5 linked regions of the Rattus norvegicus genome follow. The protein of the gene in region 3 binds, or shares a complex with, the protein of the main gene of each other region. Links are inferred from orthologs where the notes say so. Each region holds a gene or a part of one and is shown on either strand. Other genes may lie near its edges.

Region 1 (6,484 bases), on a different chromosome or scaffold from region 3:
TTATGGGATGGGCTTCATTCTTCCTCTGTCCAATCTTGCTTCCTTTTCCTTCCTCTCACAGGTCTTGACCCCTTAAAAAAACATTTAGTGCTCCAAATTCTGTTTCTGCATCTGTTCACAGAGAGCCCAACCTGACAAGCCTGATGCAGTGGTTCCAGCTGTGGTCCTCCCTCCCTTTGCATCACTGATTTGTAGCCTCTGCCAAGTCACTCCTATCATAGTATAGCAGTATCTTCTTCCTTAAGACACAGGGCCCCTTTGAACTATGCTTCCTTATACTCAGTGTAAAGCCAGACTCCTGGAGAGGGGCTGAATTCACCTTTGATCCCCACTCCTAGACACCTTCACACCTACTACCTAACAGAGGCCAGCTCTTCCTGGTCAGAGAATATGGTTCTACCCAATGGTCAATCACACCTCACCCAACTGGTCACTCTCTCTTTGGAAGAAGTCACTTGGTTTCTGGTACACAGTTCTGATTCTCCTCCATCACTGGCTACTGTTGCTTTATAGCTTCGCAGCTGGCTTTCCTTCCTCTCTCAAACCCACAGACCTGTAGCATCCAGAGGTTCAGTCTTGAAACTGTCTCTCTTTGTTGCTTGAATTAATCTCTCAGCACTACCTTTGTTCATCCTGTGGGTGACGTCATCCAGTGTGTGTACGTGTGTGGGGGGAGGGCTTTATAGGACAACCACAGGTTGACAGCTGCTAAGTCTTTACTGTGAGTTACTCCTTGCTTCTTCCTTTGAACCCTAGACACTCACATCCAACTGCTTATGTTATGGTTTGTATATGCTTGGCCGAGGGAGTGACACTGTTAGAAGGTGTGGCCATGGAGTAGGTGTGTCCCTGGGTGTGGGCTTTAAGACCCTCATCCTAGCTGCCTGGAAGCCAGTCTTTCACTAGCAGTCTCCAGATGAAGATGTAGAACTCTCAGCTCTGCCTGCACCAGGCCTGCCTGGATGCTGACCTGCTCCCACCTTGATGATGATGGACTGAACCTCTGAACCTATGAACCTATAAACCAGCCTCAATTAAGTGTTGTCCTTTACAGGACTTGCTTTGGTCATGGTGTCTGTTCACAGCAGTAAAATCCCAACTAAGACAGGTTATTTTAATTTCCGCTTTGGTGATGACACATCTCAATCTTCTAACATCTCTAAAACAAAGTAAGTTCAGACCTCCCACAAGCTCCTCCCATCTCCTTCAACCTTCCTTCTCCCAATCCAACTGTCTGAACAAAACCAGTCTTCACTCTCATCCTCTTATCCCTTATTTCCCACATCCAGTAACTTAGATAACCCTTTAGAGCACACCCATACTCTTGTCTCTCATTGTAAGGGTTTTTTTTTTTTCAAGTGTCATTTTATTAACAAAACTTCCTTTAATCATTGAGCTTTAATAAGAAAAGCTCCCTTGGCCCTCTGGCAGCCCTGTGGTGAGGGACAGAGGACTTAGTACTTATAAAGCAACAATTGAGAATGGTATCAAAACAGTGATGGCCTGGAGGGAGGAAAAACACTTGGTCAGAAATAAGTGATGGAAAGGATCAAGTTCACTGAGGATTAATAAGAAGAAGCAACCCTGGCCATTGAAGTGTAAAGACCAGATAGTATGAATGACAGCCGTGTGCAGGAACCCGAGGTAAGGCTTGTGTGACTGAATGGCCAATCATATCAGGGAGCTATCAGACAGTCAGTAGCCGCATTATGTAGCATCTTACACATTTTCATACGGAAATTTGAGGGTTATTCCAAGTTATGATGCAGCCATCTGAGGTTTTAAGCAGAAGGTCAAACTAAATGAAATTGCTTTGGCTGGGATGTGACTAGTGGGAGGAGGCTTTGCTGCAATCCAAACTTAACAATGAGCAAAGAAAGGTGGGCAGAACCAGTAGACTGGGAAATGGCCTAAGATCTGAAAGCAGAAATAGCAGGACTTTGCTTCTTCTAAAAGGGACGCAGAAGAGGATAAAGTCTAACTTTTGTCCCGCAACTTGGGAGTCTATCATGGCAAATGAAACCAACCATATTTCCACCAAGTTGACTGGATTAAAAAACAAAACAAAACAAAACGAAAGGGTAGGGAAAGATCATTCGGGCAGCTAGTGTTCTCAGGGTAAGAGAGAGAGTACGTGAGGAGATATTGTTTTTAAACTGTGGACTCTAAAAGGATCACTGGGTTTGCCTAGAATTCTTGACAGGAGAGTGTGGATTGGACAAATATTCTATCTGCATTACAGGGGAGACCAAGGGGGAGGGAAAGGAAAAGAATGATTTGTCTTACATTCACCGGTTTGAAACCTATTTATGTCGCTGGTGGTGTGAGCCCTTAACGTGGTGGTGGGTCCTTGTCACGGTGCAGCGTACTGGCGACGCGAAACCTCACAAGTAGGTCACACTTGGGAGCCTTCATCTCGAACGAGCTCTAGGAGACGAACGTGGAGGCTCCCGGTCAACCCGGTCTGTAGGGTGATTACTGTAGGGTGAAGCCGTGCGGGGAAAAGACTTCTGCGAATCCCTCAACTTCGCCACCTCCAGCCGCTCCCCGGCTCCGCGGGCCCAGGACAGCCGGTCATTTTCTCCAGATCGGGAGGTTAGAAGCTCGCAGGCCCCCTAGCGTCCGACCGTTCAGCGCGGAGGCCCCGGCTCGCGCCCGCCACCCCGAGCACCCACCCGCCGGGCGTCGCGACCCGGTCCTGCCGCGGACCGCAGACCCCTCCCGCCCCCGACTCCTCCCGAGCAGCAAGAGGGAGACGACGACGCCCGCCTCCCGCGCCCTCCCGCCCTCCCTCCCGCGCGCGCCAACTCCCAGCGCAGCGCGCTGATTGGCCGGCGCATTCCCGCTCTGCTTCCCGAACCGCCATTTTGAAAATCTTGTTGATTCTGAGGAACCGAGAGCGAGCGCGCGGCTTCGCGAGGACCTCGGCCCGCGCGCCTTCCACTCAGCGGCGGCCTTCTCGTGCGCACCCGCGGTGAGGACCGCAGCAGGGAGGCGCGGCTGCCGCCCCCCGTGGCGGGGCAGCGGGGAGGAGACGCGGCCATAAGCACGGAGGCCTGCCGCGGGGGAGGGGACGGGGCTCGGCTCTGCTCGCCTTGGCCAGACTGGCCTGGCCCGGCCCCGGGCGGCGCAGGCCGAGCGGGAGCGCGCGCTGGCGGCTGAGGGGCGGTGCGGTTTCCCGCCTCGGGCATCCCCGGGGAGGCGGGCGGAGTGACAGATAGGGTAGGCGACTTGGAGGAGAGCTAACACGGGGCGGTCGCTACGCTCCTGCCCGCGGGAGCGAACGAGCAGGCGAGCGAACCGAAGCGTGCGGCTTCTTCCCCGCCCGCAGGCTCCCAGCATGTCGGCGGCGGCAGCCCCCGCTGCGGAGGGAGAGGACACCCCCACGCCGCCCGCGTCCGAGAAGGAACCTGAGATGCCGGGTCCCAGGGAGGAGAGTGAGGAGGAAGAGGAGGAGGACGACGACGATGAGGATGAGGAGGAAGAAAAAGGTGGGCAGGGATGCGCATCCCCCCGGTGGATTTCTTCACATCAAAAGTTACCCCCTCCCCTCCTTTGGGGAGCAGTTATCTTGCTTTTTAATGCTTAGAAGCATTAAGTCGGAGTGGTTGATTTCACGCGATTGCTAACAATTAGTGGTAGAAAAATCTGTGATATCTCCCCCCCCCCCCTCTCTCTCTCCTTTTGAGTATTTGCCGGGGTTTTGGTGCAAGTGTAGCAAGAGTTTTCCCAGTGTGCCTTCAGAACGCTTCGTCGTTCACCCAGAAGTTTGTAAGTCAGATCTGCCTTTTGAAGTTACCCTAACTAAGGTTCAGTAATGGAACTTAACACTACAGGTATTCTTACTAATCCTGGAAATGTTTTTTCATGTCCATATTCTCGGCTCTTTGTATCTGCTGATTTTTTTTCTTTTTCAGTAAGGGTTCTTGGGGGAGCGCTTTTGTTTGCCTAGGGCTCACGGGTGAAAGCTGTTGTTGTTGGAGAAAGTAGTTAAAAAACGAGAAAACTGAACTGAAAGTTAACATGTGAGCCCACAGCTGTCTCGGTTTTGGAACTAATTCTGACCCAAGGAAGGTGGTAAGAAGCATCATTTGAATAGAGGCTGAGCTGTGTCAAGTAGCAAGCATTGTGTCAGTCAGAGCGCATGCTGTTCCTCTACAGCAGTCTTCTGGACTAGTCTCAGCTGCTAGAAGACCCCAGGCACAACTTCACAGTCTCAACTTAATGGTACAGATGGCCACAGCGCAGCCAAACTTGAGAGCAGGCCTAAAGGTTAAAGTGCTCTTCCCAAACTGCCACTTCTTTTCATAAATATCATCTAGGTTAAGAGTTCAAGGCGTACTTATTATTTGAAGTGGTATGTGCCCTAAGACCTTTTGGGGGTGTGTCATTTAAGTACAGCATTGGCTCTAGTTATAAATTTTAGTAAGAATTGTTTCAATTACTTTTAGGTTATTTATAATTGGTGTTTTATAAAGTCAGTGATATGTACGTATGTATGATGTAACGGGGGGACGTACCTCGGTGGGTCTATGCTAAGACATCCCTCCTCCCTGAGGTACCAGCCCCCCCATGCGTGTAGTATAAAGTAGTTTATTTGGAGGCATGAGAAGGGGAGTTAAGAAAGGAGTAGAGAGAGAGACACAGGCCAGGAACATAGGGGGAAGGGGGAATGGGAGAGGAAAAAGGGGGGCAGAGAGTTAAGAGGCCAAACAGACCCTTTTATAGCAAGCCAGGCTTACCTGGTTGTTGCTAGGTAACTGTTGGGCAGGGCCTAGAAGGAATGCTAACAATAATGTAATGGCTAAACGTTGACTACAGTAGCTCAGTGTAGCTAAGACTTCAACTTCCTAGAGGGGCAGAGTTGTGATTATAGAGGCGGTGAGTTTTCTTGGGCAGAAAGACATTTCGAAGTTGGATACAGAAGGCCCAAACAGTAATGTTTGCGGAGGCTGGCAGTGAGTGATGCATAAGACCCTGGATTTTGTTCTAGCTGAATAAGTCAGTTGTGCGTTTAAAAGTGATTTTTGTAGGTTTAGTCCTTCACGGTTTTAGAGTTTGTTCATAATTACTTAGTAATTACTTAGTTTTCTCTTTGGGGTGTTTGGGGTAACTGGAATTGCAGGTTTCTGTTCTGCTTGTCCCAGAATGCTTACCTTCAGTTTAATGACAGAAAGATGTGGGGACAGTGAAATTACTGAAGTCTGTGACGTATGGCAAGAATTGGAAGTGGTTCTGGGGAGGTGAGAGTCAGAACTGTGGCTCTCAGCTTTCCTCTGTAGGGTTCGGATGATGATGCTGTGCTGTAGAAAAGCAGGTGGGCCAGCTTGGCAGTGGTCCTGAGTCTTTTGGATATATTGTTTGGGTTCCTGCAGGACATAGTGGGGCTTCAAGGTTACAGTGGGGTGTGCTTTACTTAGTTTGAAAGCTCTGTTCCAGGGTTAGATCACTGTGAACTTACTAATATCCTGATCCAAAGCAAGTGAACAACTTAGGACTAAGAGGAAGCTGGGTGACTATAGGAGCTCTTCGACTCACTGCTGTCTTTCTCCATTTATTCTTTGCAACTCTATATCCCCCAAAGCTGACCTATCTTGGAAAGCCTACATGAATGCTTTGATTCTTTTTTCCTTCCCAAATAATAATCCCCCTTCAGCTCACAAAAATTTTTGTTTTTAAGATTACTTTTATTTCCTTTATAGGGGTGTTTTGCTTGCATGTATGCTTGTACACCAAGTGCTTGGCCTGGTGTCCTTAGGGGCCAGAAGGTGCCTGATGCCAGAAGGTGGAGTTAGAGATGGTTCTGAGCTGCCTGCCATGTGCTCCCTATCTAAACACTGGTCCTTTGAAAGAGCAGTGAGTGCTCTTAACCACTGAGCCATGTCTCCAACCCCTCACAAAGCATTTTGTATCTTTTATTTATTGTGTGTGACTAGCAGTGGTGGTGCATGTGGAGGTCAGAAGAGAAATTCAGGGAGTCATTTATTTTCCACCATATTCCTTCTGGGGCTTAGCTCCCCAGGTGTTAGACGTGGGTCACCAGAGTTGGCAGCGAGCACCTTTACATGCTTGGCAGTCTGGCTAGCCAGGCTCACAAACTTCATATGTGTTATCTTTTCTCTTTCCAAAATTGAATGTTGAATCTAGGGACTTGGAACAGTCTAGACATTTTATCATTGAGCTATACCCTTATCCCTTAATTGTATTTTTCTTAAAGATATTTATCATATTTTCACTAAGCGGTTTTTTATTTTCCTAGTCGAAATTTCAAAAAAAAGTTTAATCTCATTCTTTTGAGTATCTGGTACAATTTGAACACAATAGACATTCGTTTGAATGAAGAGAGGACTTGCACAAAATAGTTTTTTATTTGACTAGATTTCAATCAATAAGTAAGTGGTCTTTAATAACTATAACTTAATGTTTTAAGCTTTATATACCACATATTTCCTGGGGTTTTCTTAGAAGTCTGGGCTGACAAGTA
Region 2 (5,800 bases), on a different chromosome or scaffold from region 3:
GAAAGCAGCCAAAACAGAGAAGCCACACATCCAAATGTCAAGGCATATTTAGGAAAGCAAGAATGTGGGGATGAAATAGAGACTGCTCTGGTAGCCTTACACCCAGAACATAACAAAGAACAAAATCACTGAGTGTGGTTTTCCTTTTTTCTCTTCTTTTGTCATGCATATAAATTTGAACTTTGTCCTGAAAATGGCTTTTAAAAATATCCAGGGGCTGGGGATTTAGCTCAGTGGTAGAGCGCTTACCTAGGAAGCGCAAGGCCCTGGGTTCGGTCCCCAGCTCCGAAAAAAAAAGAACCAAAAAAAAAAAAAATATCCAAAGATTGAGGCATGAGGTGAAAGGGAAGAACTCGACTTAAGTATAAGACTCTGGCTTAAGGGACCAGCTGGATGAGTGAGTCAGGCTAGAGCTGAGCTGCTAGACAGACTGTTAGCTACCCATGCCTGGCAGCCTTCTCTTCAGAACCATGTAAGGGCGGAAGGATAGAGCCAGCTCTGCACGTAGTCCTCTGAGTGTGCAAGCACGGGCACTCTGCTCTCCCCACAGTAAGTCAGAAAGTTTGTATTAAAAACATCAGACTGGCCAACAGAAGAAGAGTAGTCAGTTGAGAAATAACGAGCCTTTTCAGATCTGTTGGATTTAAGACGTACCCAAAAAGGTCAGTGCAATTCATATGTGAATTACAGCATTTATTTTCACATCTTTTACAATGAAAGGAACAGGTGGTAGAACATTAACTTTATAGATAAAAGTTGACATAATTGTCCAAATATATCTTCAAATTTACTTAATGTTTTACTGGATTCTTTACAAATTGTGTTTGGAACTTTGAAAAACTGGTTATCACTTCTAAGTACCATAACAAGACAGACTCTAAGTGCACCGTCATGATGTGTCTGGCTTCTCCTGGACAGATCTCAGGATGAGTTTGTTGTGTCTGATGAAAATCCAGATGAAAGTGAAGAAGAGCCACCATCCAATGAGGACAGTGACACTGACTTCTGTAGCCGAAGACTGAGGCGGCATCCTTCTCGGCCAATGAGGCAAAGCAGGCGTTTGCGGAGAAAGACCCAAAAGAAGAAGTACTCCGATGACGATGAAGAAGAAGAAGAAGAAGAAGAAGAATCTGAAGAGAATAGTAGAGACTCTGGTAAAAATGCCTTCTGTCTGTATCAGAGCAACTCGGTTACTTCTGTGACTTCTGGAGTCACAAGGTGTTGAAGTCATTCAGCTGTGACATAAGCGTCCTGATGAGACTCTGAAATCCTTTTCTTATGACTTGCTAGTAGTGTATTACATACAGAGCTTTCTGAAAAATTTCACACAAATTAATTAATGTTTCCTTCAAGCCAAACTCTTTTAGAATGATAAATTGTGATAAATCCTTCTGGTGCCACTTATTTCTGAGAATATTTTCAGATGTTAGAAAGTGAATAACCAGTTAACCCAGTACACAGCAGGACTTCTTAGCTTTTCTACTCACAACATTTATTCCAGAGAAGGTTTTACACGACTTCTAGTACATACTCAAACATTGACTGATAATAAAATCCTAAAAATATTTTCTTTTTTTAATGTTATTTTTTTCCATGCATTGGTTTTGTGTCTGTGGGGGTATCAGATCCCCTGCAACTTGAGTTACAGACAATTTTGAGCTCCCACGTGGGTGCTGGGAATTGAACCCAGATCCTCTGGAAGAACAGCCAGTGCTCTTAACTGCTGAGCCATCTCTTCATCTCCAAATAAGTTTGTTTTTAAAGCAGTTCTTTAGGTCTAGACATGGTGGCCCATGCCTCTAATACCAGAAATTGGGCAGTAGGTAGGAAGGGAAGGAGAGAGGGAGGGAAGGAGAGAGAGAGAAAGAGGGAGGGAGGGAGGGAGAGAAGAAGGAAGGAAGGGAGGAAGGAAGGAAGGGAGGAAGGAAGGAAGGGAGGAAGGAAGGAAGGAAGGAAGGAAGGAAGAGAGATCTACCTGTCTCCGCCTCACAAATGCTGGGATGAAAAGTGTGGACAATCATTGCCTGGTTCTGAATATTATTTTAAAAGAAAATCAGATTTATATATCTTAATCAACTAAATTTTTACAACTAAACTCTAGTAACCTTGTATTTTTATAGCATAAGCTAAAGTATACTTCTACCAATGGATTTAAATTTTGTAATTTTTTTTTAATTCCCTTTTTTTTTTAAACAGAAAGTGACTTTAGCGATGATTTTAGTGACGAGTTTGTAGAAACCCGGCGAAGGCGATCAAGAAGGAACCAGAAAAGACAAATTAACTACAAAGAAGATTCGGAAAGTGATGGTTCCCAGAAAAGTCTCCGACGTGGTAAAGAGATCCGGCGAGTTCACAAGCGCAGACTTTCCAGCTCAGAGAGCGAAGGTAAGTGGTATCCTGTGTGGGGAGCAGGGCATAGCAGAAATGGACGCTGCCTAGAAAGAAATGTGCTCAAGCTTTACTTTACTTTAAAATGCATACAGTCGCTGATGTCATTAGGATGAAACAAGTTTCATTCTCCTGTTATTAATTATAATTGAAATAAATGACTCAATAGGATACTAATTTTTAAAGGTTCCATTGTATGAAGTTTTCATACAATGTGATTTACTCTGCTCCTTTTTGTCTTGTTCCAGTTTGAAATAACTTCCTATGTACTGAGTAGTAGCTAAGCTCTTTCAAACCAAATTACCTATTGTCCTTCTGTAGTTTCAGTATTTTATCTGGGATCGCTTTTATGTAATAACTTGAGTTGTGCTATATCAGAAGTGTTTAAAATTGTTCAAAGCATTCATAGCTGGGCAGTGGTGGTGCACGCCTTTAATCCCAGCACTTGTAAGGCAGAGACTAGTGGATCTCTGAGTTCAAGGCCAGCCTAGTCTATAGTGTGAGTTCTAGGACAGCCAGGAATACACACAAAAGAACACTGGTCTCGAATACCTCCCTCCTCAAATTCATTTGTTGTAGAGGTTGCTTGGTGCTTAAGAGAATCTCTTGCTCTCCCAGAGGGCAAAGTCTAGTTCCTAACAACCACAGCAGGCAGCTCAGAACCACACATAACTCCCAACTTCAAGGACTCTGATGCCTTCTGATGTTTACAGGACACTGGCACACACAGACACACATGCGAAGACATAAAAATAAGTAGATCTTTAGAAATGTTCAATAAGAACTTATGACACCCACTTCATTGTTAATTTAGACCCCTAAGTTCATTTTGAAAGATGCTGACTCTTTTTAAGCATTTAATCTTTCATTGTCTATTTATGATGTGCTTTGAATATTGCTTTTACAAATTAAATGTGAAGTAAATGTTTGAAAGTATGAGAACAGGAAAAATGTGGATGTAGGAGACTAGTTCTCTTGTCCTCTGAAGGAGGAGTGGCCCTCATAGGTGGAATGCCTACCTCAGAGTCTGAGATGACTGCCCAGCACAGTCAGGGTTACAGAAGGAAGGTCAGTCAGGGTTGTTAATACTGAGTGTGTCATAAAGATGTCAGCTACAGTGTACTTGGTGACATAAGTAAGCAGTGTTGCAGATCGGGTTTTATTAGAAGATGGTCATGTCTGCATATTTACATATTGTCTATGCCTTCTTTCCTAAAAAATGAGTAGTTGAGATAGAACACGAGGTCTCACCTACATAAATAAATACACTCTCAGATCATCTCAGAGCTGTCTTGCTTATTTTCTACAATAATTAGACTATTCTGTGTTAATGCTGATTAATTCAGTAATACTATCCTCATGTGGCTGTGGAACACTTGAAATTTAGCTGGCTTGAGCATGGAACTAAGTGCTATTTAATTTTAATTAATTTAAATTCATCACACGACTAGTGTCTATTAAGCAAATGGGCCATTGTATGGATTATGAGTTTGCTTTGTGTGATATAGGAAGTGCAGTGGAGTAGTTTGATCTCATGTGGGTTCTAGTTTGCTAGAGTACCTATACTATGAGTAGATTAAAGAGGGGGGAAAAGACAGTAGCTTGGAGAGCAGGAGTCCCAGTCTGAGATGATGGGTGTGCAGCTAGGTTCATACTTGTAAGAGGGAAAATCGTTATGGATGTTTGTATTTTAAAATTTAACTTTTGTGTGTGTGTGTGTGTGTGTGTGTGCACGTGCGCACACACGCAGTACATGGGTACTTTGTATCTATGAATGCCAATAGAGGGCAACAGATCCCCTGGAACTGGAATTACAAGTGCTCATTGTTCCTTTGCAAATGGGTATCAGGAGTAGCTTGTGCTCTTAACTGCCAAGCCATTGCTCCAGCTTTCCAAGGATCATTTTGTTTTAGACCAAAAGCATTTACTCTTTGTTGAATGAGAAATCAAGGTGAACTAAGCTTTAAGAACCAAACTGCTGCAAGGCCTTTAGGAGCTTTTTTGTTCACATTAGATTTAAGACGACTCTTTAAATACCCAAACATACATGCTAAAGGCTAATCTAGGGCTGGAGAGATGGCTCCATAGTTAAGTGCACTGACTGCTCTTCCAGAGGTCCTGAGTTCAATTCCCAGCAACCACATGGTGGCTCACACCCATCTGATGCCCTCTTCTGGTGTGTCTGAAGACAGCTACAGTGTACTTGTATATAATAAATACATTTTTTAAAAAAAAAGCTAATCTAGAATTTAGTTTGCCTAAACCAGGAGCCTCATCAGTTTGTAAATGTGTGTGTAGCCCAAAGACTTGGTGAGATGACTCACAAACCAAATACAGATCACAGGAGGACATTCACAGTTCACAGTTTACCAGAGGATGTTGCATCCCCTAAGAGTGCACAGAGTGATTTTGCCTAGTGATTTCTTTTTGGTTTTTGGTGTTTTGAGAAGGATTTAATATAACCCAAGGTATCCTTGAACTTTTGATCTTCTTATACTTCCCAAGAATGGGGATTATAGGTATGTGCCACCTTCCTTCAGTTTAATCTTTCCTTATTAATTTGTGTGACTCCTCAATTTTAGGACTAAGGGAAGGAGTTTCCCAGATGGTGGCCAATGATCTTCCCTTAATTCAAGAACCATCACATGCCCCTCTTCTTTGACTCCCCCAAGAAATCTACTCTCCCCTAAAATCAGAAGTAAAATACACAATGGATATCACTAAACATTGTTACAGATGGATGTGGGAGTTCGATTCTATCATATCAGTCAATTTAACAGAGCAGTAGTTTCATAAGAGCTGAGGATGGGGTTGGTATGGGAAAGAAAGTACTTGAATGTGTTTATGTTAACTGTGCCAACAGCTTAAATGTTTATTTATTCTAGAGAGCTACATGTCCAAGAACTCTGAAGATGATGAACTAACAAAAGAATCTAAGCGATCCATTCGGAAACGGGGCCGAAGCACAGGTGAATATTCAGAAGCAGATGAGGAGGAGGAGGAGGAAGGCAAACCATCCCGCAAGCGGCTACACCGGATAGAGACAGACGAGGAGAGCTGTGACAGTGCTCATGGGGATGCAGACCAGCCTGCCCGTGAGAGCCAGGCCAGTGTCCTACCCTCAGAGCAAGAGAGCAGCAAGAAGCCGTATCGGATAGAGAGTGATGAAGAAGAGGACTTTGAAAACGTGGGCAAAGTAGGGAGCCCGTTGGACTACAGCCTAGTAGACTTGCCTTCCACCAATGGACAGAGCCCTGGCAAGGCCATTGAGAACTTGATGGGCAAAGCAACTGAAAAGTCCCAGACCCCCAAGGACAATGGCACAGCCAGTGCAAATCTAGCCCCTAATGGGACAAGTGGTGGACAGGAGGTGGGGGCACCAGAAGAGGATGAAGATGAGCTTTTGCGAGTG
Region 3 (5,800 bases):
TTACTTAGTCACTACACCTGAACCTTTTTTAAGTGCTTACTTCTTAGTTTTTAGTCATAACAATTTGTTTTTCTTCTTGATTTCAAGGCAGGGTTTCTCTGTGTAGCTCTGGCTATCCTGGGACTCGTATTGTAGACCAGGTTGGACCAAGCTCAGAGATCTGCCTGCCTTTTCATTTATTTTATTCATAATTTAGTTAATCACATAAACATATCAGGTTTATATTTACTAGTAATTTCTACTCTTCACTTTTTTAGACTTACTCTGCTTCTTAGTTTTTTGTTTTTTGTTTTTTTTTTAATTTAATTTTATTGATGCATGGGATCTAATTCAGGACTTATGCTCTACCTCTGAGATACTCTGTATCCTTGGCTTAACTTAGATGCCTGTTAAGATTATTGTGATATCATCATTTGGCTACTGTGTTCAAATAAAACTCATTATAAATTGATTTTTGTTTTCATTTTGACAGCTACCGACATCGTAGAACAGAGCAAGAGGAGGATGAAGAGCTATTAACAGAAAGTTCCAAAGCAACCAATGTTTGTACTCGATTTGAAGATTCTCCATCATGTAAGTTAAATTCTTTGAATCATTTGATTTTTTCCAAAGGAGCCTCCTTTGAAAATCCCTTAGTTATTGTTTGAATTTACTTTTCCTATAATTTATATAGAAATTTTTAGTAATCGTGGATAGTTACTGGCTTTGAATAAATATTAAGTGTATTTTTTTAATCTGAGATGTTAATATATTGGTTGGAGTTATATAGCTATAGAGTGCTGATAGCATGTGGATAGCTCTGACTTTGATCCCTAGAGTTGAGAGACAATAGTATGGTACATTTCAGAAGTATATGAAGATGCCATTCAGCTTATTAGGGTTCTAAAATCCATGTAAAATGGAATGACTTTTGCCATACACTTTTCCCAAATTAGGAAATGTTATAAAAGGGGAAAAATCATGAAAAATAATTGCTTTTATTGATGATGGATATTTTTGTGAAATGTATTAGTGCTTTTCTATATGAAAACAGCTTAGTTTTACTTATAAATAATCTTGATTTGTGATAGGGTTATTAGAAGCTTCTATAATCTTCACGGAAGCCTAGTTTTACTGCAACTCCTGTTATTTGATGAGTAATTACTGTGGACAACTAATGGTTTTAGTTGGAGTCCTGCTTAGCTAGACTATTGAACAGTTTACTCACCCACTGGACCACTTTTAACACACACTTTCCTTTCCCCCGGCCTTTTCTTTTCAAATCAAGCTAGAGGCCAGAGCTACATGTATAACAAGCTGGAAAGGAAATTCAGGTTATTTCTGTCTCCAGTTGTAACTCGTGTGCCCAGTCCTGATGAGCTTTTCATTCTTAGGCAGCGATTTATCCCGGGAAGTACAAGTAATGTCTGTGTACTGAAGGACATGGGTCCTTATGTGCCATCTATCAGAGAACGGACTTAAGGAATAGAAAGGGTGGACTTGGAAAGAATTTCTTGTCTTTATTTCCACTCTCAATGGGGAGAAAGGAAAATCTTCAGAGAACTACTATCTGATCTTTATGAAGATGAAACCACTCGGTTAAAAGTGTGCTAACAAAAAAGAGAGGGAAAGAGGCCAGAGATACTCTGAAGACCAATGTGGTTTAACATTGGATTGAGTGATTTCGATGAGTTACTCTGATGCTAGTAGTTAGAGTTCCTCATCTGATAGCTTCACTATCAGTTACTTGTATCAATTACCCCTTCTTCAGTCCAGATTTCATTACCTATTTTTAATGACTTTCACCTTGCAGAAACCCCATAATATATGTATCCTCTAGAAAGGAGAAGTAGACACCTATAGGTTCCAGTTAAACCTCTGAATATCAGATAAAAGACAGCCCTATCTTATATTTCTTGTCCTTAAAATGAGCATTGTGTGTTGTTACTTTTTAGATGTAAAATGGGGTAAACTGAGAGATTATCAGGTCCGAGGATTGAATTGGCTCATCTCTCTGTATGAGAATGGCATCAATGGTATCCTTGCAGATGAGATGGTATGTATTTGCTAATCTCAAAGCTTGAAGATGTTTGTGTTCTTGTTGTTGTAACTTAAGATAGTTTGACTAAATCTGTAGCAGAAGAGAGATGGATAGTTTGGCTTGATTATAACTATTTTTTCCTTAAAGCACTATAATCCACTGTTTTAGTTGCGTAAGTGACGTCTTCACGTGTGAAGAGTTAACCATCTCTGCACTAGAGTAAATTTTAAAATAATGCATTTTGATAACTTTCTTGTTTTTGCAGTATTTGACTGTTTCTTTCCATTTATTAAAAGTCAGCTCACAGGGTTTAGTTTCACAGAACACCGTATCTTCTGTTCATGACTTACTAGTTATTTAGTGAAGACTTTAATCCTTCCAAAAGTAGTGCTTAAACAATTGGTTGGGGTAAGTATGCAGTCAGATATATCTCGCTCCTGCCTCTGATTGGTTACTTGGGGATGTCGCGTTTTCTGAGTCTTGAGGTGATGTTGATACCTTCCTTATAGACTTATGTGACGTAACTGTACACTTACACAGTAGTCAATCTCGTCATAGTTCTAAATGTTCCTAAATATGATGGGTCTATAAGTGTGGAAGGGTGTTTTTAATTGTTTAATTTTTAATTTGACTAGTGCAATTAAATTCTTTAATGTTGAATTATGAATTTTTTAGGGTTTGGGAAAGACTCTGCAAACAATTTCTCTTCTTGGGTACATGAAACACTATAGAAATATTCCTGGTCCTCATATGGTTTTGGTTCCCAAGTCTACATTGCACAACTGGATGAGTGAATTCAAGAGATGGGTGCCAACACTTAGGTCTGTTTGCTTGATAGGAGATAAAGAGCAAAGAGTAAGTATTTATACTATTAATATTTAATGGAATTTAAATTTAGACTTAAGATGAAATAACTGGAGAAGGGATTAAAAAGGATTGTTAGTAATTTATGACTATACACTACTTGTGGTTATTCAAGAATCTTACTGAGAACGCTTTAAAGACTAAAAAGCTAAATGAATTTCTTAATTTTATTTTCAGTTTGTTTCTCCCCTTGGAAGTCATTGTATAAAGTCCTAGATAATTTATTTGGAAATATTAACTTGTTTTTTTTGAATATGTTAAACCATTAGAAATTTGAGGGGCCAGATTTCTAGATTAGGGTACAGTGGTAATAGTCATAGAATAGTAATTGTTAAATATGAGTTGAGTCAATTTAGTAATTTGGTGAGCTGTTATATACAAATATGAGTTAAATTATTGACTTCCGGGCCACATCTTTTTAGGGCAAAGTCATGGCAATAACAACACTATTAAGAATAAAGAACTTAGATTTGGAAGTTGGATATAATCAAGTGTGTTCATTGATTAAATGATTATATTAAATGATTTTACACTTAATTAGTTGAGGTTAGTTTTTTTAAATATTATTTTATATTTATGGGTACTTTGCATGCATGTTGGTTTCCACTGAAGCCAGAAAAGGGAGTCAACACCTCTGGAACTAGAGTTAGGGATGGTTTTGAGCCACTGTGTGGGTGCTGAAAACTGAACCTTAGTCTTCTCTAAGAACAAGTGTTCTTAACCCCCGAGTCATCCTCCAGGAACTGTCTAGAGTTCTTTGCCCCTCAGTAGGTAGATTATGTGGGTTATTTTAAGTTACCAAGTTGCTTTTTTGTTTGAAGAAGTCAGCTACTTCTGCGTTTTAACTTCATATCCTTATCTATAAAATAAGAACAATAACAGTAATGTGTTAATATATCTACAAATCAAAAGAATGAGACCATCTATTGCCAACTGTCAGTCTTCCTTTATCTTACAAACCCTGCTTCCTAAGGATGGCAAGACCTGGTGAACTGTAGAAAGATAGTTTAAAGTTAGGCCATGGAATTTTGTGATTCCCTTCAACCTTTTGAAACTAAGTTAAACTGACTCTGTGGTGATAAGGAAGTAGTTTCAGTGGTGAGATGGTGGTGAGATGGTGGCTTTGATGTTCATTTAATGCCTGCTGTTTATTAGACTCCTTCCTTCCTTGGTTTTGATTACTTAAGTGAATTTAATGTATAATTGACTTGAGTGGTGTAATTTTTTTTTTCTTTATAGGCTGCATTTGTCAGGGATGTTCTATTACCAGGAGAGTGGGATGTATGTGTCACATCTTATGAAATGCTTATTAAAGAGAAGTCTGTGTTCAAAAAATTTAACTGGAGATACTTAGTTATAGATGAAGCTCACAGGATAAAAAATGAAAAATCTAAGGTAATTTGATACTTAATATGAACATTTTTTTGTGTCTGAGTGATTCAAAATGTTCTAATAATGGGCTCTGGTTCTTTCAGTTGTCAGAAATAGTGAGAGAATTCAAGACTACAAACCGACTGTTGCTGACAGGGACGCCTCTTCAGAACAACCTGCACGAGCTCTGGTCCCTGCTAAACTTTTTGTTACCAGATGTGTTTAATTCAGCTGATGTAAGCTCTTTTTGTGGTTAATAATATTTTGGTTAATGCCTATATTTTAATAATAGTGCTGTTTGATATGGCTATTAACTTTTTCATACATATGTAGCTAGCCTATTACTAAACCAGCATAGTATTCTGAAAATTCATTCACTTTTGAGTCTTGGCTTAGCCTTGGCTTTAAAGTCATTTCCAATCAGTTTCTTCATCTGAGTTAGCAAATTCTTCTTTTTGGCAATCAAGACTATTTAATTTTAACCTTAGGGTCTCTAGGTTAAAGTCTTGTTTTTAAGCGTTTTCAAGTATCTTTGTATATTTTATACATTGTGTTTTAACATTCAGAGATGGCCTTCAAGTGTGGAGGGATTTGTTTAACTTTTTGTTTTATTTTCTTTTTGTGTTACTGTGGCAAAATACTTTGACCAAAGCAGCTTAAGGAAGAAGGGTACTAGGGTCAGGTGCTGGCAATAGCTGATCTGGGGACTAAGTCAAGGGTACTAGGGTCAGGTGCTGGCAATAGCTGATCCTACTTTACTCACAGTCAGAAAGCAGACAGTGCGATAAGTGTATCCCACTGCTCAGTTCCCTTCTTTATTCTGAACAATCCATGATTCCCAACCCAGGGAACAGTCACACAACTTAAGACGGGTCTTACAGCACATACTGCAGTCAACATAATCACCTACTGCTGTTTTGGGGGGCCCAGCTCTGGGCTAATAGAATACTAGGATATGACGTTGACAATGAACAGTGAATATCACACCCATCTTTTATTATTGTGTAATAACCCAGTCTTTACCTCTAACAATTATTTACATAGTAGAAATGGTGACATAGTTACCTGTTTGCTGTGTGACAGAAAATAGTTTATGTATTCATAGTCTACAACTACAATTATAGTTGCCAAACTGGAGTTCAGATTTGAATGTCTGTTCCTACATCTAGAGTGGGTGGGAGACCTTTGTAGAGATCCATGTTAGTACATTTATGTAAACAAATTCTCTAAAGGTATTAATTTGGTTTGTTACATTAAGGGTTCTTTTCTTTTTCTTTATCTATTTTTTTGAGACAGAGTTTCTGTGTGTAGCCTTGGCTATCCTGCTCATTCTGCAGACAGGGTTGGCCTCAAACTCAGAGATCTGCCTGCCTCTGCCTTCCGTGTGCTGGGATGAAAGGCCAGCCAAGAGTTATTTTACAAAGAACAAAAATGTGTGTGGAAAAAGCACATTCAGTTTGAAAGTTTTATTAATTCTTTTAAATACTTTGATGTTTTACAGATAGTTTCAAGATTATTTGTTTTTCTTGCTGGGCTAACATTTAT
Region 4 (5,800 bases), on a different chromosome or scaffold from region 3:
TAGACCCCCTGGGAGCTCCCAGAGACTCAGCAAGTTGGTGCAAGGCCCCGCCTGGCAGTATATAGCAGAGACTGCCTCATCTGGCCACAGTGGGAAACTTGAGGCCCCAGGGAAGGACAATGTCTATTTAGGGGGGCAGGGTTAGAGCACCCTCTCAGAGGCAAGGGGGAGGAGGAATGGGATGAGGAAATACGGGGACTGGAATGTAAATAAGGAAAAAACCCCAGGAAAATGGGAAAAAAAGCTTCATACAAATTGTCAGATTTATCTTAATATTAATTCAGGTAAACAGTTTTTTAACTCTTTAATTTTTTTGAAATAAAGAAATTTAAATATCTAAATGGTCTCCAGAGCCAGGCAGCCTTATAGATAGAATATCCAAAACTCTGGACTCCTAGCTCAAACACATACAATCTGTTCCTCAATCTACCCATTACCCCACGCCCATGGTTACCTTAAGCACAATCACCCTACCTGGTTCTGGCTGCCTCCTACCAGCTTTTACATACCCCTGTACTAACACTTAGAGACATTAGGGCTACTGTATCTTATTTGCAACTTGTTTTACAATCAGACCACCACAGACACAAACAGTTCTATTCCCAAGAAATGAAGGGATGTGTATCTATCCTGAAGGAATGTTACCTAACTTAACAGACTTTGGTATGTTTTAGGAAATTACTTCCCAGTTGTGAGAAATGTGAGAAAGAAAGGGTTTATTTCAGCTTCTTTAAAAAAAGATTTATTCATTATTTTAGTTTAAATAAGTAAGTGCTCTATCTGCTTATACACCTGTGTGCCAGACGGAATCAGATCCCATTATAGATGGTTGTGAGCCACCATGTGGTTGTGGGAATTGAACTCAGAACCTGTTAAGAGCAGAGCAATCTCTCCAGCCACTATCTTAGCTTCTATGTTCAGGTCACAGTATATATACTGCTGAGGGAAGTCAGGGCAGAGAGCCAAAGAGAAACTGAAACACAAATCACGCAGGCATGGTGCTTACTGGCTTACTTGTAGGCTCATGCTCAACTTGCTTTCTTATCTATAACTATCCACATGAATCAACTTTTCACAACCATGGTCACAGGCCATGTGATCTGTGCAATTCCTTGTCTAAGGTGACTCTGGGCTGTGTCCAGTTTACAGCTGAAGCTAATCAGAACACTGGAAAAATACACATGGGTAGTCTCTTTTTCTACAATTATAACTGCTTCTCTCAGGTAAGTTCTGATGAAGCAAATAACCATAAATGAATTCATAAAGCAAATGAATCTATGAATTAGTCTTGGAACAATGCAGTTTTAAAAAAACAGAAAATGAATATAAGATATGAATTATATAGAAATATTATATGTTGAACTAGGTTCAATTCCCAGCACCCACATGGTAGATGGCACTTGGTGCAATTCCAATTCCAGGGCTTCTGACAACCCTCACATACACAAATGAAGATAAAAACCATTAAAGAAAAAAAAAATTTTAAAAGGGGGGCTGGATGCATGGATCAGTGCTCTTCCAGAGAGCCTGGGATGATTTTCAGCACCCACACGGCAATTCTCAACCATCTAATTCCAAATTCCAATCTGACAACGAGTCTGTGGAAACTAGAAGACTGCAGAATACTCACTCCTTACTATTTTAAGCAATATTCCAGCCAGGTTTGATAGTACATGCTCTTGATATGTTTTTAATCTCAGCACTAGGGAGGCAGAAACAGGCTAAGAGCTAAGAGGCCAGCCTCGTCTGTCTATTACATACCAAGTTCCATGGACAGCCAAGATTACATGGATAAACCCCATCTCAAAAAAAAAAAGCAATATCCTAAAGAAGACCAACAAAAACTTGAATGTGCCTCTGAAAATATCTATTCTTCTCTAGGGTAAATTTTAAAGCCTTCAGAGTTCAATCAAAAATTTAAGAAAATATTTTTAAATAGGAAAAGGCAGGTCAGTGTTTAAATAAAATGCTTTTTCTTCAAATGACTAACTATACTCTGCCTCAAAAGATGTCTACATGGAAGTACTTTCGAACACCAATCAATAGGTTTACTATAACCTACTAAAAACACAACTCACCCAATAGCCTTTGCGATATAACCAAATGTATTGACTGTAGCTCTTCGAATAGCTTTTTTGTGAGCTTTTAAAAGCTCTAAAAGTTCAAAGCAAATCCTCATCCACTCTCTTGCAGATACATACTCAGCTCCCCTAAATTAAAAGAAATAAAAAATGCAATTAATGAATTAACATGGTTGTTATCAAGGTATTTTGATGTTTGTTTTTGCAGTGTTGGGGATGAAGCCCAGGGCCCATGAATGCCAAATCGTTCTACTACCAATCTGCACCTCCTACCCTAATCAAAGTTTACAAAGTAAATATGCATATTCAACTCTGAAATCATCACTAACTCATCTTAAATATTAAGTGAAAACTACTATCACCCTTTTAAATAGGTTGACTTGTTAAGTGGTGCCATACAGCTTTAATCTCAGCAGCACTTAGAAAGCATATCGAAGTTCAAACCTGGTCTATATAGTGCGTTCCAAGCCAGCCAAGGATACGGTCAGACCTTGTCTCAAAAGAAGAGAAAAGAAAGCAAGCCTGACTTTGTTTTACAACTATACTGCGCCTTTAATCCCAACATTCGGGAGGGAGGCAGAGGCTGGTAGCTCTGTTTACAGACAGACTGGTCTATAGAGTGAGATCCAGGACAGCCAAAGATACACAGAGAAACCCTGTTTGGGGAGTCAGGGTAAGGGAGGAAGACACCCACACTGCTATTTCCTATTACCACTTAAAGTGAAATCTTGCTAAATCTAAATACTGTCTATACTTGAGAGCTAAATATGTACTTGGTGTTGCTATGTAATCTTCTTACCTGTCAGCAATACGCCCAACAAGATCAATACAATTCTCTTGTACTTTTTCATGTCTGTTCTTTAAGATGGGGGTGAGTCTAGGCAACAGATCTTTAATTGGTGGTGTCATCTTATGCATACCTATTTGACAGAAATCAAGGAACTATTAAAACCTGAATTGCAGTCTTTCATTTTTCCTTTTACAGTACAATGCAAAAATATGAACTCATAAGCTACCGGTGGATAAAAAAGCTCCAGATTCTAATTGGACTTAGAATTCTTAAAAATATTAACAGCTTCTAGTTACATTTAGAAATCAAAGAAATCGGGTTGGGGATTTAGCTCAGTGGTAGAGCGCTTGCCTAGGAAGCGCAAGGCCCTGGGTTCGGTCCCCAGCTCCGAAAAAAAAAAAAAAAAACCCCAAAAAAAAAAAAAAAAAAAAAAGAAGAAATCAGTAAAGTGATTTTAAAAATGAGGGTTACTCAGTAATAGAAAGATTTTATGAAATGTTATTTGTAAACTTACTTTTAAATATGGGAACAGCCTATGTTGTGGCCAAATATAGCAACAGAAGCCAAAGTTAGATCAGATCAAATCAGTAAGGGTCCCTATACCCTGTAACTGCAAAATTAAACAGACCTCCAGTCTCCCTGAAATGCAGGGCACACCTAGGTGTTATTTATTAGATCTATGAAGAGAGAAAGAGGCAGCTAGTAGGCACTCTTGATCTAACTAGAATTATTTGCTCTGATTCTCCACTGCTTTGCTAGACAAACAATATAGTCTATAATTCTGGCAAATCAGAGAACCACGAGTGAGTAAGACTGTTTGGCAAGTCATTGTCTGTATAAATCTGGGCTATATTGGGGGTTCTATATAAATACAACAGTTCAAAGCTCTATACTGCATAATAGTCCTTATTCCTTTCCCCAAAAGGGGGAAAATGGTGATTATCAGCAGTCAGTTATAATGAACTCTTAGCCTTTTCCACCCCTTTCAGTCCTAAACATAGTTTCAACACTATGTGTAAACACAATTAAACACAGAAATCCTTTTGTTTCCTTCATCATAATTCCTTGAAAACAAAAGTTGTCTCTCCATACCGGAGACTGTCCTGTGTAGATTGATGCCATTAGGCAGGTGAGGGCTGGCACGAGTCAGATCAAGGCCATGATTGGACAGTAAAAGAATAAGATGGGGACAAAGTTTTTATAGGGAGGGAGAGAAGGAGGTAGAGGGAGAATCAAAATGGAGACTGGGAAGGATGACCCAGATCCTGGTAGTCCTCAATTGCCAAGGTAGCTGGGGTAGATTTCTATAGGCAAATTTATCTTATGTAGGTGGGCTGTTCACATCCTCATCAACTGGTTGTAAGTTAATTGTGTGGATGTATTGTACATTGAGTATTTAACATATAAATCTGGTTTTTGGGTTACAGTTTGTTGAGTCTTGATGTTGCCAGGTATCTGGGACCAGAGTTCTGAGCTGGCCAGGGTGACTAGCAATGGGAGTGGAGAGACCGCTGGGGCCAGAAGATAGCTAGGTTAACATGGCGTGCTGCCGCACTGAAGCCAGCCGCCGCTGAGATAAATTAAGGTTAGTTATATGGCCCTACAGTGCAAGAACTAACACCAGGGAGTGACCTCCTGGGTTTGAGAGCACCAGGGGCCCAGCATGGAGCAATGACGCTCAGGAACCGGTTGTGCCCCTTTTCTAATAATACTGCACAACGCAACAGTCCTTTGTGTTTTTAATTACAGATAAAAGACAAGACAGATAACTCTTTTTAACCAAGTATGGTTTAAAAGTATGAGTTCTTTGAACTCATAGTAAACAAAAAAAAAAAAACAAAAACAAAAACAAAAAAAACAAAAAAACTCAACAACCAGTCAAAAGACCTAAACATAGGAGAGTAGATAAAGAAAATTTCTAGGGGTTGGGGATTTAGCTCAGTAGTAGAGCGCTTGCCTAGGAAGTGCAAGGCCCTGGGTTCGTCCCCAGCTCCGAAAAAAAGGACCAAAAAAAAAAAAAAAAAAAAATTTCTAAAACTGCACCCTCAGGACTGCGCCTTCCCTTATAGAAAATCCTAGATTATTTTTTAGCTGATGTACTAGTTCTATTAGGGCCTTCTCTCCCATTAACTCAAAACATTTTGGGCTATAACTATTTCTGTACTTTAAATTTCTGTACTAAATTTCGCCTTTAACATTTCTTTTTTTTTTTTTAAAGATTTATTTATTTTATGTACAGCATTCTGCCTGCATATGTGACTACAGGCCAGAAGAGAGCACCTGATCTCATTACAAATGGTTGTGAGCCACCATGTGGTTGCTGGGAATTGAACTCATGACCTCTGGAAGAGCAGTCAGTGCTCTTAACCACTGAGCCATCTCTCCAGCCCTCCTTTAACATTTCTAGGTAAACTATAAATAGACAATAATGAGTGAGATTTTTGTGACATTCTGACAATCCTAAAGTGCTCAAGAAAAGAAGATTAAAAAACAAACTCCTAAATACAACTTTATATTTTGTTTTCAAAACACAAAGAAAATTAAAAGGCCAAACCCTCACATGGCTAGCAAATTCCATACCTATTACATTTACAATAGCCTTCAGTGCTCCAAGAATGCTGCCCAATACTTCAGGGTACTCTTCACCCAGATACTCATACAGCACCACACCCAAGTGCCCCATCAGTTTTTCCTAAATAAAAGAAACATTAAAGATGTTACTTTTCCATTAAGCCACTTGTTCAAAAAAGATTCATCTAGTAGAAAAGATTACCTCTTGACAAGTCTTCATGACAACAGCAGTTCGAGAAATCAAGTCAGCTGCTTGTTGCCTAACTTTTGCTGATTTATTATTCAAACGCCATAAAACTGTACCACAGATCTGAGGCAAGTATGGTTTGACTCGTTTGCCAAGAGCATTGACTACTGT
Region 5 (6,495 bases), on a different chromosome or scaffold from region 3:
CCCAGCCCTGCTTCCTGCTCATCACTCCTGCAGACTGCTGAAACCCCAGTGAGCAGTGCCCTGGCCACTGTGGACAGCCATGGCTCCATGCTCCTTCTAACCTCCTCACTCAACAGCTCCTTTGGCTCTGGACATCTGTCCCCAAGTACTGGCGTTCTTCTCAGCAACCTGGAAGCCAGCTCTGTACCTAGTACCTGGGCCTGTCCACTCATTCTCCGTGGCAACCTAGATGACACAGAAGACGATATGTTGGGGCTGGTGGCTTCAGGGATCCCCAGAGGGGCCAAAGCCATGGCTTGCACCTTGTTCAATCATCTGACAACACCCCAAACCCAACAGCAGGTCCAACATCAAGCCCAACAAAGACCCACAGAAAGCCCTGGCATTTGTGGCAAAGAGGCTCTACTGCAGGTAGTAGTCCATGCAGAACACGCCCAGGTCTCCAGCATCCCTAGTGGCTGCTGCCCCTTTCAGGGGTATTAACAGAGGGTCAGAGATGTCTGGAACCTAAGAGCCAGACAGAGAAGGCCTGGCAGCAATGAATGTATGAAGAGAATGTATCTGTGATGTGTTTGCTGCTCCAACAACCCTGCATCCTGTTACGCTACCTGGTTCTAGCTCTGGCATCCAGGGCTGGTCCAACCACGTTTCCTGGTACCCTCGCTGATGGAATTTCTGGCTTTTTTTTTTTTAAATCAAATAAAGACTTAGAGGGTGATGAAAAAGAGCTTGAGTGCAACTCACCTTCAGGAAAGTCCGGAGGAGTCATCACTCCCTACCTGGTCTTTGGGCAGGGTGGTCCGCTCCATCTTCCACTGGGCCATTCCCTGCTGATCTTTATCAATTGGACTGGAAGTTAATAAAACTCAAATATCCCGGGACAACGTGCCTTCCGTGCTCTTTGGTTAACTTTCCTGTTACCCTTTGCAGCACAGATGATGAACACCAAACACAGGGGGAGGAGCCTGGCCTGGTCTCTTTCAGCTTCCCCTGCTCCAGCCACCTTCTGCTTTCTGGGGTTCCACCTGTGCAAGGTAAATCTCTTAGTTTCACGTGTAGAGCAGACGGCAGGGCAGAGGAGGGACAATGAGTAGGAGATGTCTCTGGGTACAGAAGGGCTGGAACTGGGCTGGCCCTGACCTTATCTGAGATCTCTTGAGTACAACCCTTTAGAAATAGTTCCTCGGGCCAAGGGCAAGAACATCCAGTAGCAATTCTCCTACCGGACAAAGAAAAAGGTAATTCTGATTTAAGGTTTTGAGGGTTTGATTTTTTTCAATTAAAAAAAGCTTTCATCTTGTGTGTGTTGACTACATATATGTACATATACCGCATGCATCTTCTGTCTGAGGTCAGAAGAGGGCTTTGGATCCCCTATAACTGGGGTTACAGATGTGAGTTGCTGTATGGGTGCTGGGAACTGAACCTGGATCCTCTGGAATAGTAGTAAGAGCTTTAACCCAATGCGCCATATCCCTGATCTCTGTAATTTTGTCTTTTTTTTTAATTTTTTAAGATTTTTTTTATTTATTATTATATATGAGTACACTGTGGCTGTCTTCAGACACACCAGAAAAGGGCATCGGATATCTTTACAGGTGGTTGTGAGCCACCATGTGGTTGCTGGGAATTGAACTTAGGACCTCTGGAAGAGCAGTTGTCGCTCTTAACCGCTGAGCCATCTCTCCAGCCCTGTAATTTTGTCTTTTAAGGCAGAGTCTCCCTATGTAATCCATTCTGGCCCAGGCACTGGGTTAGAGGACCACCAACATACTCAGTGAATTGTTTTGTTTTGTTGAGCTGGGGGTCAAATGTAGAGCATTGACATGTTTGCCTGGTATTCTACTTCCATACCATATCCCCAAGTTCAAGCTAGCAGAACTCTTGAGTGGATCATCTTCACTTCTCTGTCAAACAAAACATCCCTAGGTGCAATTATTCCACCGCCTATTCAACTATTTTAGCTTTTATCTTGGTGTCCTTTCTAGCCAATCATCTCCTTTGACTCAAGTCATCACTCACCTTGACCATCTCTAGATTAGCCAAGGTCTCACTTCAGCCCAATTCACTGTCTCTGCACAGGCCGTGCCTGCTCTCAGCCAACAGTTGATCTTTTAAAAATATAAATCAGATGTAAATCCTTCCCTGCACACTCAGAAGAAATTATGAACTCTTGAGCCTGGCCCGGGATCCTATACAGCCTTGCTTCCCAGAACCTTCGTCCTCTTCCTCTTACTGACCTCATTCCCATAAGAGATGAACAGCCTTTGTAGAAAAAATGTCCTTGGCCTGTTCTTTTTGCCCTGGGGGACAATTGAGCCCATCTTGTCCCTCAGCTGTCAGCCCACATGTCAGTCTTGTCATGGTCTCTTATTAAATAGTATCTTAGGATCTATTGAATTTTCTCTTTAATTTCTAACAGGTGATGTTTTCGCGTATTTAAACAGTTAAAGGGCTCCCTCTGCTACATACATTCCTTATTTTCCTCAGAACTGTCATTTTAAATGTATTTGGCTACTTGTTCATCAGCCATCTTTTCCAACTAGAAAGGAAGAGAAGCCACGGCTTTATTCCGCTGAACACAGTAGAAGCAGAACAGCAGTCGCACCGGTGTCTCTGAAAGGATCGCGAGCAGACCCGGGTCTGGGAAGAGATCTTATTACGGCGGTCTACAGAAACTCCGCCAGCGTAAAGGATGAGACCAAAGCTGCAGTTTCTACACACGTGTGCGAGCACAGGTCTCTGCTCCACCCACAGACACACCGAAAAGGCGAGACCGTCTGGGATCCACGCCTAACCTGCTAGGCCCCGCCCCCACTCGGACTCCCAGTGCGCAGGCGCCGAGGCCTGACCTGGAAGAGACTGTCTTTCGAGCCCACGTGTTTGGTTCAGCATGGCGGAGATGAAGAGCCCTACGAAAGCTGAGCCTGCGTCTCCCGCAGAAGCGCCGCAAGGCGACCGCCGCAGCCTGTTGGAGCACAGTCGCGAGTTCTTGGACTTCTTCTGGGACATCGCGAAGCCGGATCAGGAAACGCGGCTCCGGGCCACGGAGAAGTTGTTGGAGTACTTGCGCACAAGGCCGAGTGTATGATGGAGGGTCCCGGGCTCAGTGGCGGGTCTGGATGCAAGGGGCAAGGGGTGGGCCTCTCAGATCACTGTTGAACACGAGGGATGTTCTTTTTTCTGTAGGATTCGGAGATGAAATATGCCCTGAAGCGCCTAATCACTGGGCTTGGGGTGGGCCGAGAAGCTGCTAGGCCCTGCTACAGTCTGGCGCTAGCACAGGTGAGGCGGTGCGTCTGGCAAGAGCACAGTCTCGCTGGGCAAAGAGTGGAGTTTAAGGGTAAGGGGGACCGCAGCTGCTGGGTAAGGAGATATCCGAGAGGCTTCTGAGGGGATGCAGGCATCCTTACATGGGTGGAAGGAAGCGCCCAAACACGGCCTATCTACAACAAAGTCCAGACAGGTGGGAGAGTTAAACACGTTTTCTTTCTGATACACGTTTGTCAGGCGTACTAGCTATAGTTACTGGGAGTAGTGAGTTTTGAGGTTGACTTCTGCAAGGTTGGGTTGCAGTTGATGGCAGACCACATAGAAATTCGTACACCAAAAAGCAATGAAGGCTAACGAGTAGAGTCAGTCTTAAGGCAACTCAGAACAGGATCTGTGGATGGGATGGGGTTTTCCAAGATGTACAGAAGCAGTCTAGGCCTTCTGAAGCCTTAGCAATGTAAGATTTGGTCCCTTGAAAGCGGTAAACTCTTCTTAGCCCTTGTGAGGGACGGGAAGAGTGACCAAGATTATATTGGGGAAAGTGGAAGAAGTTGACTTGGTCTGGTTTGATGTCCCTGGGCCACTCCTGAGCTCTTTTTGGTCTTGCTGGCAGCTGTTGCAGTCTTTTGAAGACATCCAGTTGTGTGACATCCTGGGACAGATACAAGAAAAATACAATCTACAAGCAATGAACAAGGTCCGTGTGGCTCCCAGACAGACAGCCTGCCCCCGAACAGGTATGGGAGGGACCCTGTTCACCTGTGTTTGGATCTTTTTCTAGGCAATGATGAGACCTACTCTCTTTGCAAACCTGTTTGGAGTGCTTGCCCTCTTTCAGTCAGGACGCCTAGTGAAGGTAGGAGCTTTGGGCATAGGGACGGGTTTGGGGGTGGGGAGCAGACCATAGCATTCCCTGCACTTCACCCTCTGCTCTCTGGATACCAGGATAAAGAAGCCCTGATGAAGTGCGTGAGATTGCTGAAGATATTGTCCCATCACTACAACCACTTACAGGGGCAGCCAGTAAAGGCTCTGGTGGACATCCTCTCCGAGGTAGAGAATCCCAGCTCATGCTGTCTCATTGGGGAACCATTGAGAAGATGAGGGTTAGTTACAGCAACACTAGAACAGATGATTTGACCACCATGCAACTGGAGCTTTTTTTCCTTCCTGTCCCCAGTATCTTACATCTGGCCTGTCTTTCAGGGTCACAGCACATCTCCATTCAGTTAGGCACTTTAGATCCTCCATAACTCTCTCTGGTAGCTTTTGTGGGGATAGTGTGGGTTTAGAACCATGCTTGTCAGTGCCTGAATATGTAGAAGGCACCCTGAGTACATTTGCCATAGTTTGGTCAAGCCTGGGTCTGCACTATCTATCCTAGTTGGGAGACCAAGGCAGACTCGTGTCTAGAGTCATTTGCCACTAGCTCATCCCCAATTTGTCCTTTTGGCACAAATGGAGACAGACCATAATTCAAGTGCAGCTCTCCACATAGGGCTGTGTCTATGAAACAGGCTAGTTCTCTTAAAAAAAATAAAAAGAGGAACAATTTTAAATGTAGCCTTTGGGCCAGTTAGCCATCAGTAGGATGCTGGGGTTGGGGAGGCAGTGCTCTCTTATGGGTCTGATGCTTGGCAAGTTGCCTGACTGACTGGTGGTGTATCAGAAGCCCCTGGGTAGAACAAGACCCAGAAGGAGAAACAAGAGCTAGGAGAAGCCACCCTTTCTACCTGTGTTCCCACTCCAGGTCCCAGAGTCCATGTTCCAGGAGATCCTGCCAAAGGTCCTCAAGGGGGACATGAAAGTGATCCTCAGCTCTCCCAAGTACTTGGAGCTCTTCCTCTTGGCTCGGCAGAGGGTGCCAGCAGAGCTCGAGTCACTGGTTGGCTCGGTTGATCTGTTCTCAGAAGACAACATTCCCAGGTTTGAGGAGATTATGAGCGGGCTCTCGCTGGGGGTATCCTGCACTCTAGTCTTCTGGGTGATGTTTACTGAATCCCCTCTGCCTTCCAGTCTGGTGAATATACTGAAGGTGGCGGCCAACTCTGTAAAGAAGGAGCAGAAGCTGCCTGATGTGGCTCTGAACCTGCTCCGCCTGGCACTTCAGGAGAACAAATTTGAACGGTTCTGGAAGGAGGTTTTGGAGGAGGGGCTGCTGAAGAAGCCATCCTATACATCCAGGTGTGTTTGACACTGGTCTCCCCTCTCCTCCAGCCTGGGTAGGACCTGTTCTAAAACCTGGCTAAAAGAACAGGGCCTCTGACACGACTCTATCCCAATCCTCCATAGCTACATGTGTTTCCGCCTACTGGGTGCATCTCTGCCGCTTCTGTCAGATGAGCAGTTGCAGTTGGTGATGCGAGGAGACTTGATCCGACATTTTGGGGAGCACATGGTCGTTTCTAAGGTAGGTGTCTTCCCGTGTGGTTCAGTGCTGCCCACAGGGCCAGGGCAGTGGTGCTTCCTCTGAAGTTCTAATATGGCAGGACTTGACAAGAGGTTAGCCAGTGATCAGGCCCTTTTGTCCTGAGGCCCACTCACCAGCAGGCCCAGCCAGCCATCTATTTGTAACATTGCTGGGGTGGTCACATTAGGGGGAGTGGTTATTGACGCCAGTGTGTTCTGCATTTTGTGCCTGGCACCTGTCAGTCATAGTGGGGGCCCTATACAGAGGGTTGTCAGGAAGCAAGTGGGTTTTGAGCCACAGGTCAGTACTGGTCTATCAGGACCTGAGCCTAAGTTTCCTTTGTGCCAGTCAAACTAGGAAAACATCTTGTCCTCAATCTTTGAGGGAGAATGGGAATCTTCTTGTGCTGGGGATGAACTAAGGGGTCAAGGATAGGCTTTGATGGAGTTGTGGCAAAGTTGGGCTCAGCCCTCAGTCCTGCTGTGTAATTGGAGTGGGGAAGCCCTGGATTTAATCACTAGAGAGAAAGATGGGAAAGTGGTGGCTCCTGCCTCTTCACTCTAGTAACCCAAACTCATGCTCGTCTCTTGCAGTCCCAAAACCCGCTAAGGTTCATTCCAGAGATAAGTGCATATGTGGGTACCTTCCTCGAGGGGTGCCAGGACGATCCCAAGCGGCAATTCACTGTGATGGTGGCCTTCACGGCCATCACCAATCAAGGTCTCCCTGTCATGCCTACCTTCTGGCGTGTCACGCGGTTCTTGAATACTGAAGCCCTGCAGAACTACGTGACCTGGCTGCGGGACATGTTC

What was found.
Region 1: Smarca5 (region 3) and Dek share a complex: the UniProt entries of both Homo sapiens proteins name them as parts of the B-WICH complex. The link is inferred for Rattus norvegicus from reciprocal best matches to the Homo sapiens genes SMARCA5 and DEK.
Region 2: Smarca5 (region 3) and Rsf1 share a complex: the UniProt entries of both Homo sapiens proteins name them as parts of the RSF-5 ISWI chromatin-remodeling complex. The link is inferred for Rattus norvegicus from reciprocal best matches to the Homo sapiens genes SMARCA5 and RSF1.
Region 4: Smarca5 (region 3) and Sf3b1 share a complex: the UniProt entries of both Homo sapiens proteins name them as parts of the B-WICH complex. The link is inferred for Rattus norvegicus from reciprocal best matches to the Homo sapiens genes SMARCA5 and SF3B1.
Region 5: Smarca5 (region 3) and Mybbp1a share a complex: the UniProt entries of both Homo sapiens proteins name them as parts of the B-WICH complex. The link is inferred for Rattus norvegicus from reciprocal best matches to the Homo sapiens genes SMARCA5 and MYBBP1A.

Annotation. Positions count from the first base shown.
Region 1 is NC_086035.1:17,784,261-17,790,744, forward strand, and holds the start of Dek (protein DEK), read left to right. Parts: upstream 1-2,878; 5' UTR 2,879-2,974; intron 2,975-3,088; exon of another isoform or gene 3,089-3,222; intron 3,223-3,331; 5' UTR 3,332-3,340; coding exon 3,341-3,491; intron 3,492-4,735; exon of another isoform or gene 4,736-4,881; intron 4,882-6,484. UniProt on the Homo sapiens protein: Involved in chromatin organization.
Region 2 is NC_086019.1:161,413,832-161,419,631, forward strand, and holds part of Rsf1 (remodeling and spacing factor 1), read left to right. Parts: intron 1-918; coding exon 919-1,154; intron 1,155-2,196; coding exon 2,197-2,385; intron 2,386-5,273; coding exon 5,274-5,800. UniProt on the Homo sapiens protein: Regulatory subunit of the ATP-dependent RSF-1 and RSF-5 ISWI chromatin-remodeling complexes, which form ordered nucleosome arrays on chromatin and facilitate access to DNA during DNA-templated processes such as DNA replication, transcription, and repair.
Region 3 is NC_086037.1:44,181,743-44,187,542, forward strand, and holds part of Smarca5 (SWI/SNF-related matrix-associated actin-dependent regulator of chromatin subfamily A member 5), read left to right. Parts: intron 1-472; coding exon 473-573; intron 574-1,934; coding exon 1,935-2,035; intron 2,036-2,695; coding exon 2,696-2,875; intron 2,876-4,123; coding exon 4,124-4,279; intron 4,280-4,359; coding exon 4,360-4,491; intron 4,492-5,800. UniProt on the Homo sapiens protein: ATPase that possesses intrinsic ATP-dependent nucleosome-remodeling activity.
Region 4 is NC_086027.1:63,990,637-63,996,436, forward strand, and holds part of Sf3b1 (splicing factor 3B subunit 1), read right to left. Parts: coding exon 5,645-5,800; intron 5,564-5,644; coding exon 5,452-5,563; intron 3,002-5,451; coding exon 2,881-3,001; intron 2,211-2,880; coding exon 2,079-2,210; intron 1-2,078. UniProt on the Homo sapiens protein: Component of the 17S U2 SnRNP complex of the spliceosome, a large ribonucleoprotein complex that removes introns from transcribed pre-mRNAs.
Region 5 is NC_086028.1:57,552,581-57,559,075, forward strand, and holds the start of Mybbp1a (myb-binding protein 1A), read left to right. Parts: upstream 1-2,877; 5' UTR 2,878-2,893; coding exon 2,894-3,085; intron 3,086-3,189; coding exon 3,190-3,285; intron 3,286-3,886; coding exon 3,887-3,970; intron 3,971-4,054; coding exon 4,055-4,129; intron 4,130-4,218; coding exon 4,219-4,326; intron 4,327-5,023; coding exon 5,024-5,199; intron 5,200-5,289; coding exon 5,290-5,457; intron 5,458-5,565; coding exon 5,566-5,683; intron 5,684-6,276; coding exon 6,277-6,495. Other genes in the region: Ggt6 (glutathione hydrolase 6), read left to right, coding at 1-483. UniProt on the Homo sapiens protein: May activate or repress transcription via interactions with sequence specific DNA-binding proteins. Repression may be mediated at least in part by histone deacetylase activity (HDAC activity).